2 linked regions of the Sus scrofa genome follow. The protein of the gene in region 1 interacts with the protein of each later gene in a pairwise test. Links are inferred from orthologs where the notes say so. Each region holds a gene or a part of one and is shown on either strand. Other genes may lie near its edges.

Region 1 (3,806 bases):
CACAGGGCACCGTGGTGTCCCCAAGGCTGGCCTGCCCCCCACCCACCCCGTTGTCCCCACCTGTGTTCACGCCTTGCTCGGTCCACAGGTATACCCGGCCTGCGAGGCCCTGGCGGTGCTGGAGCCCTATTCGCGACTGCCCCGCCACCCGCACGTGGCCCGGCCGTCGGAGGTCCTGGCGGGCACGCGGCAGCTCTACGCCTTCTTCCCGCGGCCACACGGGGACATGCACAGCCTGGTGCGCCTCCGGCGTCGCCTGCCCGAGCCGGAGGCCGCCGCGCTCTTCCGCCAGATGGCCTCCGCCCTGGCGCACTGCCACCAGCACGGGCTCGTCCTGCGGGACCTCAAGCTGCGGCGCTTCGTCTTTAGCGACCGGGACAGGTGAGTGTGGCCACAGAGAAAGCCTCTCAGTGTGGACTTGACTGATGTTCTGGTCATGGTTAGACGGAGGTGATGCACTTGGGGCAAGAACATGGCAGAAGCCATAAGGCCTCCTCGGCCCACTGCACCTGGAGATACAAGAAGCTGATACCCATCTCTGTGACAGAACCTCAATCTCTAGTTAAGGTGTGGAGTTTCTCCCCTTGGAAGTTTCCTCATTTACTTCCTAATTACAAGCAATGAATTACTGGCTTGAGGTACATGGAGGCTTTGCTTGTGGATGGATATTCTATTTCTCCTCAAACTTTCACTCACTCATTTCAGTGCCGTCCATTCTGTCTGTAGCAGTTATTCACATGATGTCTAAGGGTGGTTTTCTATTTCCTTCTACATTTCATACAGAAATGAACATGTTTTTAGTAAGAAGTAAAATGTAAATTTTATAACGATGTTTAAGCTAATAATACTCAGCTTCAGGTAATTTTGAGTTTAGGGTAAGTTCAATGCCCCAGACTTCCCAGAAGTGAGCGAAGTGCTTTCTGGAGTTCTTGTTGTGGCTGCGGTAACAAATCTGACTCATGTCCATAAGGATGTGGGTTCGATCCCTTGGCCTCACTCAATGGGTTAAGGATCTGGCGTTGCTGTGAGCTGTGGTACCAGATGCAGCTGGGCCCCTCATTGCTGTGACTGTGGGTAGACCAGCAGCTGTAGCTCCTATTAGACCCCTAGCCTTGGAAACTGCATATGCTGCGGGTGTGGCCCTTAAAAAAAGTGCTTTCTTCTCTTTTCAAGGCAATAGTTTGAGAAGCACCATTGGTAAATGAGGGACAGTGGAGTCAGACAGACCTGGGTTCAAATTCTGTTTCTCCCTTTTTTTTTTTTTTTTTTTTTTTGGCCAAGCCTGCTGCATGTGCAAGTTCTGGGACCAGAGACAGAACAGAATTGAGCCACAGCCGTGACAACTGCCGGATCTTTACCCACTGCACCACCAGAAAACTCCTGGTTCTATTTTTTAACTTGCTCTTTGGCCTTGAGCAATGGCTTCACTGGCCTGAGCCTTGATCTCTTTATCTGTAAAATGAGCCAATAATACTGACACCTCAGCCCACCCTCTGTGCGGTGAGTCACAGGACTGGTCAGCGTTTTCAGACAGGCACCCAGGAAGTGGTGTCATAGGAATAAGATTAATAGCAGTGGTAATAGAATGCTGACTCTTAAAGTAGTCTAGAGTGCTCTGTGGGAGCTGTTTTAAGTAGAAGTTGCAAATGGGGACTATACACACTTTTTTTTTTTCACCTACATTTTTGTTTGTGTTTTTAATTGAAGTTGGTTGCCCACTTTTTAAAAACTGAGATTTTTGTCATTAAAAATGATTCTGGGCTTCTCTTGAGGCAAAATGGGACCCCAGAGCTACTGTGGGAACCATGTGAGTGGCTCATAGCACTGGCTCTGGGTGGGTGAGAGTGAGGTTCACATCCCAGCCCTGCTTCCTGTGGCTGCAAAATGGCATCGTCTTCAGAGGTTGTATGAGCGTGAAATGAGATGAGCCAGGTACCAGCTTAGCCCAGGGTCAGGTACACAATGGACACTCCAAATATTGGCCGAATGCTGTTAGCAGGGCCTTTTAGGTAGGATTTATGTTGAGGTGTTTGACACAATCTCCATATCCTATTTTTCTCATTTTGTCACCTGCCTTGACCCTAAGTTTGCCTCTGGTTTAAGAAGGGCTTAATGCCCTCAGCCCCCTCAGCGCCCCTGCCCCAGGGACTATTGGGAAATGTGTTCCTCCCAGAGTCCCTGTTCAAATGTAATTGCTCCATGACTTTGAGAAATGACTTAACTTCTCAGAGCTTAGACTTCCTCATCAGTAAAATGGGATCAATGACACAGCCTCACAGGACTGGCTCAATCAATCTGGCAAATGCCAGAAGGCATTTGGGAGGTAGATGCCATTAAGGGTGCCAGGGTAGGGAGTTCCCATAGTGGCTCAGCGGGTTAAGAATCCAACTAGGATCCATGAGGATGCAGGTTCGATCCCTGGCCTGGCTCAGTGGGTTAAGGATCCAGCGTTGCTGTCGCTAGGTCAGCAGCTGCAGCTCCCATTTGACCCTTAGCCTGGCAATTTCCATATGCCATGGGTACAGCCCTAAAAAAGAAAACAATAAGGGGGTGACAGTGTGGGGTGGTGGCATGATGGTCCCTTTAGCGAACCCCTCTGCTTCTCCCCTTGCTTTTTAGGACAAAGCTAATGCTGGAGAACCTGGACGACGCCTGTGTGTTGACGGGGCCTGACGACTCCCTGTGGGACAAGCACGCGTGCCCTGCCTACGTGGGCCCCGAGATCCTCAGTTCCCGGGCATCCTACTCAGGCAAGGCGGCGGACGTCTGGAGCCTGGGTGTGGCGCTCTTCACCATGCTGGCCGGCCACTACCCTTTCCAGGACTCAGAGCCTGTCCTGCTCTTTGGCAAGATCCGCCGTGGGGCCTTCGCCCTGCCTGAGGGCCTCTCAGCTCCTGCCCGCTGCCTGGTCCGCTGCCTCCTCCGTCGGGAGCCCGCTGAACGGCTCACGGCCCCGGGCATCCTGCTGCACCCTTGGCTGCGGCAGAATGCGGTCCCCACGGCTCCCTCAAGCTCTCGCCTCCGGGAGGCTGACCAGGTGGTCCCCGAAGGGCCGGGACTGGAGGAGGCGGAGGAGGCGGAAGAGGCAGAAAGAGATGTGGGTCTCTATGGCTAACTAACGCACAGACTCTCAGCCGCACTCGGCGGGTTGGGTTTGGGGTATCTCCACGCTCTCTCCCGCCTCTTTGAACCGAGCTGAACCTTAAGTGCCTTCTGGGAGGGAGAGAGAGGAGGTGTGCACGGAGCGTGCCAGATGCACAACCCATGGTTCTGCACACCTGTGCCGTTGAGCTCGTGCCTCGCTGGGTCCTCTTTGGGTGCTCACTGTGCCAAGCCGTGATTTGGGTACTGGAAACACAGAGAATGACAGAGACAGAACTCCAGCCTGCAGAGTGGACAACACTTTCCATGTCCAGGGGTCAGTGTCTATACACTGTGGGTGGCTCCCTCAGTGCAGGTGTCAGCATCCACTCGTGCTGGTGCCCAGGCACCTCTGACCTGGGACAGTCCCTTTCACAAACAACCCAGCTGCCTTTGTATCTCGCACCTCCTTAGAGAAAGGGAAGCATCACTGTGCCAAAGGCTCCAGGCCTCTCTCCCATAACTCAGGACCCTAGAGCTCAGACTATGCTAGGAATTGTGCTCCCAGCAGCTCTGTCCTCTTGGTCAAGGGATTCTCCATCCAGACCTGAGCCAAGAGTTTAGGCTGGAAGGTCAAGAGTATAAACTGCGAGGCTGGACCTCATCTAACTTAAAGAATGGTTTGGAATGAGGGGTCAAGCCTGTTCATGTCAGTGGCCCCTGAC
Region 2 (4,242 bases), on another chromosome or scaffold:
TACTTTTTTGGGTCTTTTTCGGGGCTGCACCTAAGGCATATGGAGGTTCCAGGCTAGGGGTCGAATCGGAGCTACAGGTGCCGGCTTACGCCACAGCAGCACCAGATCCAAGCCACATCTGCGACCTACACTACCGCTCATGGCAACGCTGGATCCTTATCCCAGTGAGCAAGACCAGGGATTGAACATGCATCCTCATGGATGCTAGTCAGATTCGTTTCCGCTGCACCACAATGGGAACTCCCTATTTCTATATCTTTAATTTCACATCTACAGGAAATGATAAATGTTCACTAAACTTATGGGTAATCAAATTGTTATACTGTACACCTTAAATTTATAAAGTTTAATTATATCTTGAGTAAAACTGGAAAAAAAAAAAGCACATGCACATGGAACAAAACAAAAGAGGCCCATGTATCATTCCAGGTAACTCAAGATCTGGGTCTCCCACCTTTGGATCTTGACTCAGTCTCATAACCACCACCAAAGTCCTGAAAAGTTGTACTCCAGGTGTAACGTCTAGATGTGGATGAATGGGGGAGGAGAGGGGCTTGCAGCAAAGACCCTCGTCTACGGGGTCTGGTGGAAGGCCCTGTGTAATGGGAGGGACTGGCCAGGAAGCCCCATCTCTTTCAGCAAATGGAACTACAGATCTCCCTAAGTCTGGCAAAGGTGGAAAACTGATCTGGGGGTGAGGGTGGGGTGCACGGAGGTAGAAAACCATTTGAAAGGACGTCTAGGTGAGGGGCAGGGACAGAAGAATGAACCAACGGGCCTGAAAGGCGTGCTAAGGATAAGGGCTAAGGGGAAGCCAGCAGGGGATGGACACGAGAGTCTGGGCAATGATGCCTTGCTCCCGGCAGCAGGATGGGGCTGAGCGTCCATCGTTTGAAATGGGGGAGGGCAGGGATGCTAGAGCGAAGGAGACACAAGAATGATCTATTAGCAGGTGTTGGATGGTCGAGTCTGGGGCTCTGGCCAGGGGAGTTGGAAGGGGTGAGACTGGTCCCCAGAGGTCCTTGTTATGGATAATAAAAGCGGTTGGACCAGGCATGAAGGAGGGCTGGTTTCACAGACACCGACTGCACGGATTTTCACAAACGACCCCACTAGGAAGAGGTGATTATTCTCATTTTACAGGTAGTTCCCTATCTACGAGGCTAGAGAATTTAAATTATTTGCCCAAGGCCACCCGCGCCCGTCTGCGATTTGAATGGAGCGCGGTCTGTGACTCAAACCAGATCCTAAGCCACAACAAGGGTTCTCAGAGTGCCGTGGCAGTTGAAGAGATCAGCACGTGGCTGGCCGGAAATTCGTGAAGCAAGAGAAAGGAAAGGAGAAATGAACTCGTGCAGGGATCGGGGAAGAGGTGAGGCTGAACCACCAGAATGAGAGGGAACAGAAAGCCGGACCCCGGATCAGAAGGAGAAAGGGGCCCCACCCGAGTGGGGGTGGTCCAGGGGGTCGGGAGCAAAGCAGGGCCAGATCCTCAGGTCAGAGGAAGGGGAGGGCTGAACGCCCTGGTCGGAAGTGGGGGACAGTCCCCGGGATCCCCGAGGGCTAGAGGCCAAGCCCGCCTCCCGGTTGGGGCAGCGCGGGGCGGGGCGCGGAAGGATCCGGGCACGCCGTGCTGCGCCGCCCCCGGTATATCTGTCCCCAGTCCCCCGGGCCGCCTCATTCCCCATCCTCAGATCACAATCTCTCCTCACAGTACCGCGACACCTCCTCCGCCCGCGTAGCTCCAGCCATGGCTCTGTAGCCGCGACCCCTCTGTGCCCCCGGCCAGTCGCCGTGCTCACCGCGCCTGCGCTCTCCGCTCCTGCCGTCTTTCTTCAGCTGAGGCCACCGCCGCCTCTTCTTTCCGCAGCCATGGAGTGAGTAACCGCTCGCTCGCCCCTCCCTCTCCAACCGTCTTTCCCGCCCTTTCCAAGCTCGCGGCCCTCACCACCGGGCTCGGGGGGGTGGGGAGACAAGAGTGAGGAATCACGGTCGCGCAGGCGCAGAAGAGACAAGACGCTCCGTTTGCGCGCTGCGGAGCATGCGCACTCAGCTGATGGGGGGAGGGTGCGTTCTTCCAGACAATGTTGGCGTTTAAAGACGACCACATGCGTTTGCGCCTGCGCACTAGCTCCCAGAGAGGGTGGGTTTCCCCCCTCCTCCCCGCTCTGATTGAGTCTGTCAATCAGCGATTGCTCAGATCCACCGGCGCTTGTATCTCGGAGCAAAGGGCTGACGAGCAGCAGCCGCACGTGCGCAGCACTGATCCCGAGGAGGGCGGAGCCTTGCGGGGGCAATAGGACAGCTCTGGGGCTGGAGCCTGCGCTTTGGCCCTCGGCGAGACAGCCGTGTACGGGGGTGGGGGGAGGGGGAGTCGGGAGCTGTTCTCATCCCGCCCCCCTCCACCCTCCGCCTCCCTCCAGTTTGCTCAGGCGTAAAAGCACGTCTTCCCTCCCTTTCTTTCAAGCAACTACGGGGGCGGGGGCGGGGGGAGAAGGCGGGGCTTAGAAACGACCAGTTAAGGGACGGGAGCTAGGATAAGAGACGTCGCGGAGGGTGGGGCGGGGGCGGGGTACCCTTTGGGAGAAGGGGCGTGGCTAAGCGCGCCGTGCGCTGAGGGGGTGGGGTTTATATTGAGAAAGAGGCGGGGCCTCTGGGAATCGTCGGGGAGGGTGGAGCTAATAAACCAGGGGGCAGGGCTTGGGGGGACGGGAGACCACTGCAAAATTCGAAGGGAAGAATGGGATTTGAATGGAGGATTTTGATGAAGGGGCGGGGCAGGGGGATTCCCCTGGGAACAGATTCACAGCAGGAATCTAGGGACAGGGTGGGGCCTAAAGGATATGTTTTAGGGCAAGAGGTGTGGCTGGAAGAAAATTCCCCTGGGATTGAGGTTTTTGTGTTTTTTTTTTTTTTTTTTTTCCATGAGAGATAGTATTATGGGGTGGGTGGGAGGGTCTTAAGGTAATTCCCCTGGGACACCATTATGTTTCAATATTGGAAGGATTGGGTCTAGGGAATTCTGAGGAAAAGTAAGTCGGGGCCTAAAGAAAATTCCCTTGGGAATGGGTGGGGTCCCCATTTGAGGAAAGAAAGGGCAGATGTAGAATTCCCAAAAGGTAAGGAATCCTGGGGACCTGAGGGGGTATCGCTTGGTTTCCCCATGGCCTTGGCCGTTGGCGAGGCTGGCCCCTAACCCACTCACTTTTGTCTCCCACTCGTAGGTCCTCCACTCTCGCCTTGGTGCCCGTCTTCGCCCAGCTGAGTAATCTCCAGAGCCTCCTGCCAGCTGTTGGTGCAGCCTCCTTCATTGCCATCTGTGCCCCGCACCCGAGCTGCAGCCATGTCACTCCTGGCGACCCTGGGGCTGGAGCTGGACAGGACCCTGCTCCCAGCTAGCGGGCTGGGCTGGCTCGTAGACTATGGGAAACTCCCCCTGGCCCCTGCCCCCCTGGGCCCCTATGAGGTCCTTGGGGGAGCCCTGGAGGGCGGGCTTCCAGGGGGGGGAGAGCCCCTGGCAGGTAAGGGTAGGCAAAGAATGGAGGTGGAGTCATGGAGTGAGCTGGGGTCAGGGGGCAGGGGAGAAGAAGAATTCATTCATTCGTGTATTTATTCCTTCAATAAATATTTCCTGAGCACCTATAATATGTCAGGCACTGTTAGGTGCTGGGGATACAGCTGGGAACAAGACCGACGTGGTGCCTACCCTTTTGGCGCTCACACTCTACTGGGGACAGACAAGAGACAAATGACGATGTGTGGGGATAAGCAGGAAACAGTAGCTGAGCTCAAAAGCGACAGCGAGGACTAGTTTACAGTGGGGAGCTGGGACACCCTTTCCAAGGCAGTAACATTTTGGCTGAGGCTTAAAAAATGGTACGGGAGTTCCCGTCGTGGCGCAGTGGTTAACGAATCCGACTAGGAACCATGAGGTTGCGGGTTCGATCCCTGCCCTTGCTCAGAGGGTTAACGATCCGGCGTTGCCGTGAGCTGTGGTGTAGGTTGCAGACGCGGCTCGGATCCCGCGTTGCTGTGGCTCTGGCGTAGGCCGGTGGCTACAGCTCCGATTCAACCCCTAGCCTGGGAACCTCCATATGCCGCGGGAGCGGCCCAAGAAATAGCAACAATAACAACAACAACAAAGACAAAAGACCAAAAAAAAAAAAAAAATGGTACGGAATGAGCCATGAAAAGACAGGGGGAGGAGTGCCCATTGTGGCGCAGTAGAAACGAATCCGACTA

The links.
Region 2: the proteins of TRIB3 (region 1) and ATF5 interact in a two-hybrid assay, tested with the Homo sapiens proteins (2 studies listed by BioGRID and IntAct). The link is inferred for Sus scrofa from reciprocal best matches to the Homo sapiens genes TRIB3 and ATF5.

The regions. Positions count from the first base shown.
Region 1 is NC_010459.5:34,809,383-34,813,188, reverse strand, and holds part of TRIB3 (tribbles homolog 3), read left to right. Parts: intron 1-88; coding exon 89-381; intron 382-2,619; coding exon 2,620-3,115; 3' UTR 3,116-3,806. UniProt on the Homo sapiens protein: Inactive protein kinase which acts as a regulator of the integrated stress response (ISR), a process for adaptation to various stress. Inhibits the transcriptional activity of DDIT3/CHOP and is involved in DDIT3/CHOP-dependent cell death during ER stress.
Region 2 is NC_010448.4:54,943,783-54,948,024, forward strand, and holds the start of ATF5 (cyclic AMP-dependent transcription factor ATF-5), read left to right. Parts: upstream 1-1,284; 5' UTR 1,285-1,372; intron 1,373-1,598; exon of another isoform or gene 1,599-1,714; 5' UTR 1,715-1,877; exon of another isoform or gene 1,878-2,058; intron 2,059-3,224; 5' UTR 3,225-3,343; coding exon 3,344-3,521; intron 3,522-4,242.